3 linked regions of the Arabidopsis thaliana genome follow. The protein of the gene in region 2 interacts with the protein of the main gene of each other region in a pairwise test. Each region holds a gene or a part of one and is shown on either strand. Other genes may lie near its edges.

What was found.
Region 1: the proteins of AT4G30410 (region 2) and BNQ2 interact in a two-hybrid assay, tested with the Arabidopsis thaliana proteins (one large-scale study listed by BioGRID).
Region 3: the proteins of AT4G30410 (region 2) and PRE1 interact in a two-hybrid assay, tested with the Arabidopsis thaliana proteins (one large-scale study listed by BioGRID).

The regions. Positions count from the first base shown.
Region 1 is NC_003076.8:4,920,308-4,924,781, reverse strand, and holds BNQ2 (BANQUO 2), read left to right. Parts: upstream 1-1,969; 5' UTR 1,970-2,228; coding exon 2,229-2,357; intron 2,358-3,139; coding exon 3,140-3,295; 3' UTR 3,296-3,539; downstream 3,540-4,474.
Region 2 is NC_003075.7:14,870,177-14,874,419, forward strand, and holds AT4G30410 (sequence-specific DNA binding transcription factor), read right to left. Parts: upstream 2,092-4,243; 5' UTR 1,676-2,091; coding exon 1,133-1,675; 3' UTR 808-1,132; downstream 1-807. UniProt on the Arabidopsis thaliana protein: Functions redundandly with IBH1/BHLH158 in a regulation node known as the incoherent feed-forward loop (FFL).
Region 3 is NC_003076.8:15,955,614-15,959,494, reverse strand, and holds PRE1 (basic helix-loop-helix (bHLH) DNA-binding family protein), read right to left. Parts: upstream 2,128-3,881; 5' UTR 1,807-2,127; coding exon 1,681-1,806; intron 1,345-1,680; coding exon 1,192-1,344; 3' UTR 936-1,191; downstream 1-935. UniProt on the Arabidopsis thaliana protein: Atypical and probable non DNA-binding bHLH transcription factor that integrates multiple signaling pathways to regulate cell elongation and plant development.

The sequences.
Region 1 (4,474 bases), on a different chromosome or scaffold from region 2:
AAATTTGTCTGCAGAGTTGTGGATTATGGGTAATTAGTTCCACATATTTCACCTATTGAAAGATGCATTCTAATGTATCAATTTTGAACGGTGGTACTGGTACATCGACGACACTAGTATGAACAATTATGATATAAATTAAACTCACTGGTTTTTGCAAATGTTCTAACTATAAAAACATTTTTCTTTGAAAATTGTTATCTCACTACCGTAGTAAAACGATGGAGATAAGAAAAGCGAGAGGTCATGTGGGAGAGGGCGTGAAGGATGGGGATGCTCCCTGATTAGAGGGGGGAAAGAGTGTCCTATCATCACATGGGAGGTTAAACTGGTTCTTATTTATAACTTCAAAATATTAAAACATAAATAGTCCCACCTTTGTGTGCTCATCAGCAAACATTTTTCTTTAATGTCCAATTTATCACACCATCTCCTTGTTTTCTAATACATATCATACATCTACTAATCATCATTCATTCATATCTTTTGCATATATCATCATCTTCATCATCATCATCACGTGTTTAGATCTAGCAAATGGTTTGTTGTTATTTATGACCAAAACAACATTACCATGTAGTATTTATATAAATCCTAAATAAAAATTGAAACTCACTGATACAATTAAAATTAAAGTATTTGTACAAAATTACATATTGACGAATGTTAGTTGGAAATCACCTGTCTAAGTTTTTTAGAACAAGTGCTCAAAGATATTGGGTTCGACAATTGATGAAATTCCACTTAGGCATTACATATAAATAAATATCGTAAGCATATACACTATCAATTGAGGTACACGTGATCGAGCTTGGACTAAAAGTGTAAGACTAGCCCCTCCCTATTGGCTAGGATAGATACCGTACGTTCCCTCAAATTGACCTAAGTCCATTGTTTTTGTTTACCCGTATCTATATAACTGAACCACAAAATCTTCTTGGTTTTACGCATCACAACGATCATAAAATAATGATATACTCATATAGGTATATCTTGAGTATATAGACAAGCTTTACACTAGCTTGTATAATAAGATAAATAGAGTGGTGATATTTTAATGTTGCATTGTTTCAGTACTTGAAATCAGAATCGTTTCCCACTTGAAAAATTAGTTTCTCTTTGATCATAGCATATCTAACAAGACATATTAGTCGAGCTTTTGGATAGTTGTCGTTTGGTCTTAAAAAATAATGATACATTCTCACAAACTCTCACCGTACCTCAAGGCTCAAGCAAAGCTAGGACATGCTATTAAGGAACTGTAACTACTATAGCTGATTATCACAAAGTCTCACCTCAATATATATAAAGATTTTAATGACTAGAATAATTATAAGTTTTGAGATAAATTATCAATGTATCCAAGTGAAAGTATTGTTTGGTATTTTCTGTCAATCTAGATATTCATTTGCGAATTCCTAATTGACGAAAAATAACAGATATTATAATGTTACTAATTAACAAAAAATAAATCTTTGAAAAGATTTACATCATTGAAATACTACAATATTAAAAATATAATAGCATTATAATATCGACAATACTTATAATACTCATATAATAATATAATAAGAAGATTTTAAATGTACATAATACAAATTATTGCAAAAAGATTTCCAGTAATAGATACTAAGTTCTACTAAAGTTTTTGAAACTTTTTAGGAAAAGCAAGATTTTGTTGGAGACTTTGGATTAATGTAATTTTCAAAAGAGAAGAAGATGGTTTTTTTTTTTCTGAATATAAGAAAATAGAAGATATATATCTATCTTCGGTGTATTTATTGTTGATAAATATGCTGTCTTTTTTTAAAGTAAATAGATAAAAGTTAGACAGACTTTTTTTTTGTCTTATGTATCTTTTTCTCTAGTTTTTTATAAATCAACTTTAAATTAATCATCAAATAATAGTAATATTAGACACATATATACATCACGATCTGATAAATTTGTAAATTCACGTGTCATGTATCCAAGACTCCAATTCTAAACCACTGTTCTCTCTTGTGCACTTGTCATCGGCATATCCAACACCCCTATTTAAGATTATTTGTATTACTCTCGCTCTCTCTCTCTCTCTCTATCTAGAAGTGGTCCTAGCTCTCTATATAACACCATTTCTTCTCCTTCTTTCTTCTCCCTTTCTTTCGACAAGCACAAACAAAGCCATCAAGAGAAGAAAGCCTTTTCTTGGATTCACATATATATAAGAATATTTTTTCAAATCAAACATGTCTTCTAGCAGAAGGTCGAGACAAGCAAGCTCATCATCAAGAATTAGCGATGACCAGATCACTGATCTCATCTCAAAGCTCCGACAGTCCATTCCGGAGATTCGCCAGAACCGTCGTTCCAACACGGTAAATCTTTTCAAAAGTTACTGTGTTTCTTCTATGTACCAAGGTTTTGGCATAGTCACATAAGTTTTACTTTGATGATATTTATTTAGGGTTAGCTATTATGTTTAATAGAGAATCACGCATATACAAGTATACAACATGTTAGAATAGTGCATTATAGTCATAGAAGTACGTGTGGGAGACTGCATTTTGAAGTTTCTAAAATTACTTTTGACCATTAACCGGACTTTGAGGAGAGGGGAACATATTTTCCCTAACTTCAGCATTAAGCTTCTAGTTAATTTTACTTTTATTATTGATTAACTACATTGAATGTGAGACGACTATATTGCTTCACGGACCATCAATTCAATACATTTATGTACAGCACCGACTAATTTTTATATTTGGTTTTCTTAGTTTCTATATAACAAGAAAAGTACGAACTCTAGAAAAATAAGAAAAAGCTGGTTTCTATAAATGGAAGCATCGTTTTCTTATAGTACACACAACCAATCAGATTTGTTCTCAATTTCAAAACAATGTGTTGGTTAAGTTATGAGCATTTTTATTTTTTTGATAAAGTATGGGCATTTTATCTTAAGCTTTAGGTTTAACTTTTAACCTATGCATAGTGTAGTATGTCAAGCAACTAGCGTCAATATATTTTCTTACATTATTAACACGCATCATAACTTCAAGCTAAGACTTGTTTCTGTTGTTGTTAAAGCAAGCTAAGACTTGTTTGAATATTTATATTGAATCCTTACTATAAAATGTACAATTGTGAAAATTGTTTGTAGGTATCAGCGTCGAAAGTGTTACAAGAGACTTGCAACTACATAAGAAACTTGAACAAGGAAGCCGATGACCTCAGTGATCGATTGACTCAGCTTCTGGAATCCATTGATCCTAATAGCCCACAAGCCGCAGTTATTAGGAGCTTGATTAATGGATAATTAAGATATAAATTGATTAGTTGTGCTTTATATATATAAGCTTAAAATCTCGTTGGGAGGTTGATCCATCAGGGTGTTGCATAATTATATATCTATTTTATGTTTCTTATATATTATTTACAATCCTATCTAGTTAGGGTTCATATTTTGACCCTTTTTTGGTTTAACGTCATGCATGCAATTCCATTAAGCTTAAAAATTATAATAAATAAGATTTCGAGTAATTATTTAATTTAAATCCTTTTATATTATATTGTAAGTGTGTCCATTTGTATGTGTGTTAATGCGTTATACAAATGGATATACTATATAAGTATATATGGCACCCAAGAGGTTAATTAATTTCAAAGTTAATTTAGACTTATCTTCGAAATAGATAGAAAAGTTGATTAATACTATCATTTAAAGCGTACATGATTATCAATTTTGCATGAAAACGTAATAGGATGACTCAAACCTACCAGACTCACATAAAAAATAATATCTCAACCATTATACCACTATACATTGTTACAAATTACAAACTACAGAATGAAACAAAATCTATATTTATTAGCTTCTCACATATTAAAAAAAATAAAAAATCCAACAAATGTTTTTGAAAACAGACCCATCGTGCATTATATTTGATAATAAAGATAACATTTACACTAGTTTGCTATAAAATTTAGTATTTAATTACCTACAATAATTTTACATATATATATATATATATATCTGTATAAAATTCCCTAAAATATTTGAAGGTTTAGAAAACAGGTATATGAAGTTTAAACATGCGTATCATACAATCTAGTTAGTGTAAGTATTTACAGTCAAAATGTATGAACCCCGCGATGAAAAGTAAGATGAGTGAGCAGTTTTTAGAAAACTCTTCGGCTGATATATCACACGAATCTTGCTTATTAATGTTGCAAGAAGGACACAATAAAGTAACACGATTTTTGGCAACAAAAAAAAGAAGTATATATAATTAGTACAAAGTTCACCATAAATTAAATCACATTCTAAAAAGGAGTTTGTCGTCTTTTGTTAGCAGATGTGAAATATAGATGACGTTAATACTTATATTTGTCGGAGAACTGGGATCATGAGCCACAAATTTTGCATAAATTAGCGTAGTACTTAAGTTAACTTCTCACATTTTATACAAATATATATATATAAATATGAGACAGG
Region 2 (4,243 bases):
ATGTGTAATATTATATTGGTATTTTTTTTTCGTTTTTTTCCTTCTAATAATCTCCAAAGAAAATGTTGGCAAGTTAGCTGTTACAGAAAAACCATTGGGGTTGTTGTCAATAGAACTTGCAGTTTAGACCACATACAGAAAAAATCGAAAATACCCCTTTGTTACATGATCTAACATATAAAGTACGTGGCAAATAAGATTTTTTTTTTAATAAGAATTTGTTCAAACAAAAATGAATGCAGATCTAACTGAGAAGTGAGAATCATTAATCATATGTACATAGATGCACATATAAATGGATAAATACCATCGGTGGGAGGCATAGCTTTCATGAGACAAAATAATATATCTTTGAACGGTGTTAATTAATTTAGCTAGGAAAAAAATGAACGTGAATATGTACGTTTTTTTTTTCCTCGTTGCCATTAAGCGTCTTCTTCCTTAGCTGAATACTAAATGATGCTGATTGATGAAACATGGAGTATATACGAAAAAGACTGATTTTTACACGTGCTGTCTTATTGGTTGTTTTGTTCTAGTAGACTAGTACTATCCTTTCAAACCAAGTCTTTAACCCAAAAAAAAACATAAGCAAAGAGTCAAATATATATTGGACAACTCATATGAGCTAATTAACATTGAAAATCTGAAAAAAAAAAACAGAAAAAAAACTCACATGAGCTAGTATATATCATTTGTTTTGGGTTGACATGTCAAATGAGCTATCCAATACGAGTGAGTTGTAATAAAACTGAACCAGATATCTATAATATAAAATAACATTTGTCTATTTTTTTCTCTCAAATAAAAACATGCCAAGAAAAGCAATCGAAGCGTTAAAAATATCTTAAAATTCACTCACATTAACTAAATTAAATTCAAAAAAAATAAAAATTTGCCAAGAAATGTTCCAATAAAAACCACCATCACGTAGCAGAAACTTTCTATAAGCATTGTATAAATTTCCTTATGTACAAAATGGCTTACTATAATATCTCTCCATCCTCGTATGACAATTGCATTGTCCGAATAACATACGGTTCTAATGACCAACAACAAGATCCGATCGACATCATGCTTTCGCAACTAATCTCCGCAGATAAAAAAATAAAACAAGATTTTTTTTTATCATTTATCTCTCAATTTCGGCCTCGGCAGCATCAACAATACTTCTCATAACATTTACTTGCGTTTGAAGCGACACAATGTAATCTAACGTTTCTTGAAGCAACAAGACGTCATTGCTCATCAACTCACCACCAGGTACAACGTTTCTTAATCCTTGAGTCCGTCTCTTGACGAGTCTCTTAGCTTTTGCTGCAGCCTCTTCGCTCGCTGATTTCGATTTCCTCCTCAAGATCTTCTTGCTTCGCCTCACGATCTTCCTATGACACACAGTCTTCTTAGGCAACTTCTTGTTGATTAACGTTTCCGCTTTGATGCCGGAAAGCATCTGACGTACGAGGAAATTGTCCTCGGTGGCGGTTTTCTCGATTAGGGCTCGGCTCCAACAAGTTGTTCCTTTTCTTAGAGACGCCATTGCAACGTCTGCAGAGAGCTTTATTGCTTTTTTTCTCTCGTGGACGCTCGTGTTGTCTATCGAAGGACGGAATATTTGAAGACCCATTTGCCATTTCTTTAGGAATTCTTCATTCATTGAGCTCGTAGGCTGCATCCTAAATCCTAATCAAGTAGAAATATACTCAATTATGAGTCATTTTTCAAGAAAAAGTAAGTTAATCCTAAGTAATAAACCATGATGTCTTTATACATCAAAGGGATACATGTATGTAATATACTAATATACATCAAATCATAACCAAACTGGATTTTTTCCCCGTTTAGGGTTCCTTATTATAACCAGAAGAGACATGAACACATACCTTTTTAAGAATTTGTTTACTTCTAGTGTCGTCAAAGATTGCTAAGAACAAATCTGCGGTCACCTCACGAATTCGTGAATTCGACGAGAGAGAGGGAAAGAGACAGAGAGGTAAGGGAGAGAGAAAGGAGAAGGAAAGGGTCCATTTTAATTGTTTCAAAAGGAGAGGGAAAATGGTGGGGGCAATAGGAGATAGGAGAAGCACATGCATGCACATGCTACGAATGGCCCACGTACCCTTTTGTATTACCCTATAATTTAGGAAACTTTTGTCCATTATTATTTGTTTCCGCCGAAAATTTGTGATGATATATATACGTTTTGATGTTTTAAGTTTTGCAATTATGAGGATTTTATGAAAAAAAAAACATTTTTTGTGTATCTTTCGTTTGTTTTCTGTCAACTGCGTAGCTTCATTTGGTTTTTTTTTTCACACTCCGTGAATCCGTGATATATAATGATCTCATCACTCGTATATATATGTATGTAATGTATGTTCACATATTTGATTTAACATGTAATTCTCTATCTGACAACCTTATCAGTCAGCGCTGTCGCCAAGCAAATAAAGGCCTATATAAGCACGCTAAATAATCTAGATTATCTTTGAATTGGTGTCATTACTTAGTTAGAACATATATAATAACTAAAAAAGTCCATCTCAGTTTTGAAATTTAAATGTTAAAGAACGTAAAGTATAGATTAAAAAGTTGTGGTTCTCCAATGTTGTAGATTGAGTCATCAGTCTTCCATAAAAGTTTATAATCTATATATACTTACCGTGACCTGGATCACCTAAATCACCTAAGGTTATAAAAAGATAACAAATGATATAGAATGTATAGCTGAGAATAATGGCTGGTTCTGACGATTGTGAGTGCGTAATTTGTTAATGTAATATGTTCAGTTATTATCGAGCAATATTCAGTTTGATTATTGTCGAACAATGAGTGAATCTATTAATCATATTTACCATTATACGTCAATAATTTACATACAAAAAACAGAATTTGAGAAATTTATGATGCATTGCATTGCACAGTGCACACCTTGGTTATACGGTGCATTATTTCATCTTCTTTTTGATGCTTCACAGTGATACATTCACAACTAGGTATCAAATATGAAAAGCATGGTCAACACATTAACTGTGCCATAACTTTTTTTATACACATACAACAAATAACATCAATATGGTGTTAGTGGTTAAAACGTGGCGATCCGCAAACTTTGGGAAAGCCTGGTTTTGAAAAAGAAAAAAAGAAACAATAATAATTGTTGATAAAAAGGAAAAAGAAACAATAATAATTCATTTATATTGGTCAATTTAATTCAGAAAACGAAAAAATGATATTGATAGATGTACATGAATATAAAAGTTGATGTTCGATAAATATATACAACTATCGAAAGAGAAATATTTTTGATATTAAAATTAGCTTTTTTTCTCCAACAAAATACATCGAACATGGATCTTCTGGTGCGGGGATTTGTTTTCCAATGGACCTCCGTAATTTACGGGAATCTCAACAATCATTCTCCGAACTCTACACGCCCACCATCTCATTGTCGTCACCATCAGTCAAATTTTCTTTGATTAAAATGTTTTGTGCCCTTAATCACATTCTACGACGTCGTTAATGTGGCAACACTCTTGCATGCACGCGTCCACCGAAGCGCATGTGCACACGTGGAGGGACCCTTACCCATTGGTTCTTTTACTTTTACATTTTTTCACTCACCAAAGAGTGATTTTCAACGGTGACTCTCACAGTCTCTCTGATTGACGGCTGTGATATGTTTTAAAATCATTTACTATCATATAAGAAATTCAGATTTACTGACAGGTCGATTGTCCTAACAGTTGATAAACTTCCAAAAATTGAGGATTTATAGTACAATCAAATTGTTTCTAGTGTCTTGAATCAAAGAACACCAAATGGTCTTGATCTACAGAGAGATATCTCGTACTTTTTGAATTTGCAAAAGATATGTGAGATGACATTGCAGAACAATACATTGATGTTACTGTTGAGTGTTGACAGATGTAACTATAATATAAAAATAATGTTTGAGATCATTGGTGGCGTGGCTGATGGTTTCATCACTCATCATGGGGAATAAAACAGACGAGTTCACAAGATGCAATAGTGAGAGTCCATTGATGCAAAACAGAATTATATGTAAAACAAATAGTTTTATCAAAGTGTATATAAAATGTAACATATGATTCATACGAAGAGTACTAATCTAAGTAGAATAGTTATAGGAAATGGTAACTCTAGCTTATCCTCAATATATGTTTCAATTAATCAAGTATAATATTATTTTACCGATCAACTATTTTTTTCATTCAACTTT
Region 3 (3,881 bases), on a different chromosome or scaffold from region 2:
CTTTTACTTCTTGAAGTGATCTAATAAACTTTTGTTGCAGCCGAGGACTAGTGGTTGGTTTGAAAGAGAACCAACCGATACCTTGTTAAATATTGTGTCGTTTCGTTATTGCTCTATTGTTTAAATCGTTTCCGCTATTTAATTATTCTATTTAGTATATCTCAAAATTTTACAATAATAATTCAAAAAGGGTACAAGACCTGAAAATTGTATCTATGTAACAAGAAAAAAAAATTAAGATCGTTTTAGGTGGAAGAGTGTAACAAAGCTAGTCTCTGAATGCTCTCCTTTTTCATGTAATTCTTCTTGTGATTATTTTTATAGCTATATGGCTTAAAATTAGGAGTCGGATTTGACCAGTCTCCTAAACCCTGAAAGGACCAAACCGGTATAGCTATATGGCTTAAAATTAGGAGTGATAGATTTGACCAGTCTCCTACGCCTTGAAAGGACCAAACTTGTCTAAATGTATGTACATGGGTGCATGTATATCAATATGCGTATACGTGTGTTTAAACTTTAAACTACATGCATGTAGAATTATGAGATATCAAATAAAACTATAACGTTGATTTTTATTTAATTTCTTTGTGTGGACGTCCTAAAAGGCAAAACTTTCCTTTAGATGTGTATAAACGTTTTTGTGACAGTTAAGATGGGGTTTCTTTTCCCCTCCAAAATGGCTAAGAGTTTATTTGATTTTGTCTTCTATTTCTATTTTTGCTTTTTATCTCTATTTTGAGGTTTAGATGATTTGTTACCTCAAAAACAATGTGCCAAATAACTTTTTTTATTCCGTATAAAATTAAATGCTCGCAACTAACAATGTCCTCTCGCAATTTTACTGTCCTTGACTGACACAATCGAGTTCAGACATCACAATCTCTGTTTTTTTTTTCTTTGTTAGGGAGAAAAAAAGAAAGATTCTTCTCCACCAAATTTCATCCCACTGGTTTATTTTAATAATGCACCTGCTAAGGCAATGCTCGTGCAGTTCTGCTACACACATATATGTCGGAGACTTTTGACTATGGAATTAACCCTATGAAATTCGTATGTCATTAAAGATCAAGCCCATCTCTTTGAATTTTACATAATAAGACGATTATGTTAAAAATATAATTATTATAGAGCGATCATTTAAGATTACATGGATAGGCTTGTCAAAAACAAACAAAAGAACAAAAAAGATTACATGAGTAGGCTTCTAATAACGGCGGCTTCAGGGCTATCTTCATCGACAGATTCGAGAAGCTGAGACAAACGCTCGCTCAGATTGTCAACTTCTCTGTTCAAATTTCGTATGTAATTGCATGTCTCTTGCAATACTTTCGAGGCTGATGCCTTCAACAACAAAAACGAAATAAAATCATAATCATTATAATATATGTTTTTTGAACCAATGCATGCGCTTTTATGCGTTTGCAGATGCATGCAAGCTGATGATTTTGATGTAATCTCTTATGTAAATATGGAAGAAAAAGGTTGTGAATATTGGTATATATGTTCCTTAATGTCCGGAGTCAAAAGTTCCGACTTCTTTTTTCTTTCTTGTTTGATTTTAGTGTCCACTCTTCTTTTTACAAAACTTTTGTTCTTTCCTTTTTTGGATAGGTTTACACGATGGATAATGTTAAATGGTCGTTATAAATGAATATATGCATATATTATGCGTGATACCTTATCAGAACGACGTCGTTGACCAATCTCCGGCAAAATTTGACGGAGCTTAGATACGAGGTCAATCATTTGATTATCGGAGATCCTTGGAGCACTTGAAGATTGCCTTGATCTTCTGTTCGACATGTTCAACAATGTGGCAAGAAAAGACCCTAACTAAGTTGTGGATTCTTCTCTCTTTCTTTACTTCTCTCACACTAGCTCAAACAAGTTCTATTGAGAAATAGAAATAGAGATATAATGAGATCGGCTATGTCTATGTGGCAAGTAGGTGTAAGCTTTTATGATTTTATAAGGTTTTTATGCTGAAAGGAAACGACCAAGAAGAAAGAAAAACTAGAGAGCAAGAAGAAAATAGAGAAGAGAATGAGAAAAGTGTTTTGGGGTTTTGAATACACTTCAAATATAAAGAAATTGAGAATGTGATAAGAGAGATTTAAATAGGCCAATGGACCACAAGAGAGAGAGAGCGACGGAGAGCAGCAATAAACCTCGACAATGATGTCACGGGAGAAGAAAGCGATAGATTGAATGCCCTTAAACCACAAAACTTCGAAATCATTTTTTATTACAGATTTCCAAGCCGTATATATACATATCATCAGTCGAGACTATTACCAATCATTATACGAAGGTAATGGCGGGATTGAATTATTTCACAACGTTTTCAATCATGGTTAGTTAGTTATTGTGTATAGTTCAAATGATACACAAGTTTCAAGATTCGTAACTTTTTAGGATTTTGTGGAAAATAAGTCTTGAAATCGTCCATTTCTACTTTCAGAAAATATAGAATAATTTTACAAAGTGAAAAATACTACGCAATATAACATTTTTTGCTATTGTCAGATTTCGTCAAGTTTTAAAAAAATTGAGAAGTATTATATCAAATCGAAGCCCTCGAGACAAAGAGTTCAACTCTTCTTTAATTTAGATTTTTTAAAATGTATGTGATCGTGAATACGTTTACAATATATGTATAAGGAATATATTGCGTATTATTTTTGTTTTTTTATGATTATTCTGCATATTTTAGAAGTAGAGGGTAAAATTACAAAAATAGATTTCTCTTAGGATTTGTTTTACCAAAACCCCAACTTTTTATGCCTCAACTATCCAAAAAAAAAGAAAATGATTATGACTAGAATGGATCACAAATATACATATGCTTAGTTATTGAAAATTTTACAGTATAATTCCTATAGAGTGGATAAATAAATGGGTACTAAATTTTTTGAATAATTGGAGGAGATTTGAATAGTTAAATGGAGGAAACGAAAAGTTCCCAAAGATGGGGTTGATGAAGGTCAAGATAAGTGTTTCATGTTCATCTAACATTGTGGCCCTTCATCTGCAATTTCACAAAAAGGCAACTACCATGTGATGACATGACTTTTCATTCAATTTTTTTTCTTCTAATATTAGAACTAGTATTATCGCCTAAATTGTCTCTCTAAATTTGTATTCCACAATATCTAGGTACAGTTTGTATATTTATCTGTAAATCTTGTATATTACCAAACTATATATTTTAAACTTGTATAAAATATATAGTTCCAAACTTGTATAAAAAAGCATAGAGAGAATTATGTAAATTCTATCTTCCATACTAACTACATTTGTTTTAGAAAGGAAGAAGCCTAATTATTGACTCCTATGGAACATTGTTTTCTAACTGCTAAGCCATAAATAGTTTCACCTCATATGTAAAATATTTCGTGTGATAACTTTTAAAAAATTATAGAATGTCAATGTAACTTAAAAATAGTAGATATAAAACAAATATTTTCTATAAAAGGATTATTGTTGATTTTGCCGTTTTCATCAAAATCTTTTGAAAAAGTCATTTTTACTAAAATTTTACGAAATTGTCATTTTAGTACTTATAAATGTACGTATTTACGATATTATTTTTACAAAAATAAGTATTTTATATTAAATGCTAAACTTAAAAAACAAAAAAAAAACTCGACTAAACCTTAATATAACGAATAAAAGCTATGCTAAATTTCATTTTTTAGACTGAAAAAGAGCAAAATCCACAAATTATTTAAAAAATGACAAAATCCATAAATATCATTCAAAAAATGGTAAATCCATAATTAATTCTTTTATAAAACGTGAAAAGGAAACCAAATGCTTAAAAGAAACGTATCTATCGGCTTTAAAACTTCGTTCAGACCATTTATTTCAAACTTCTT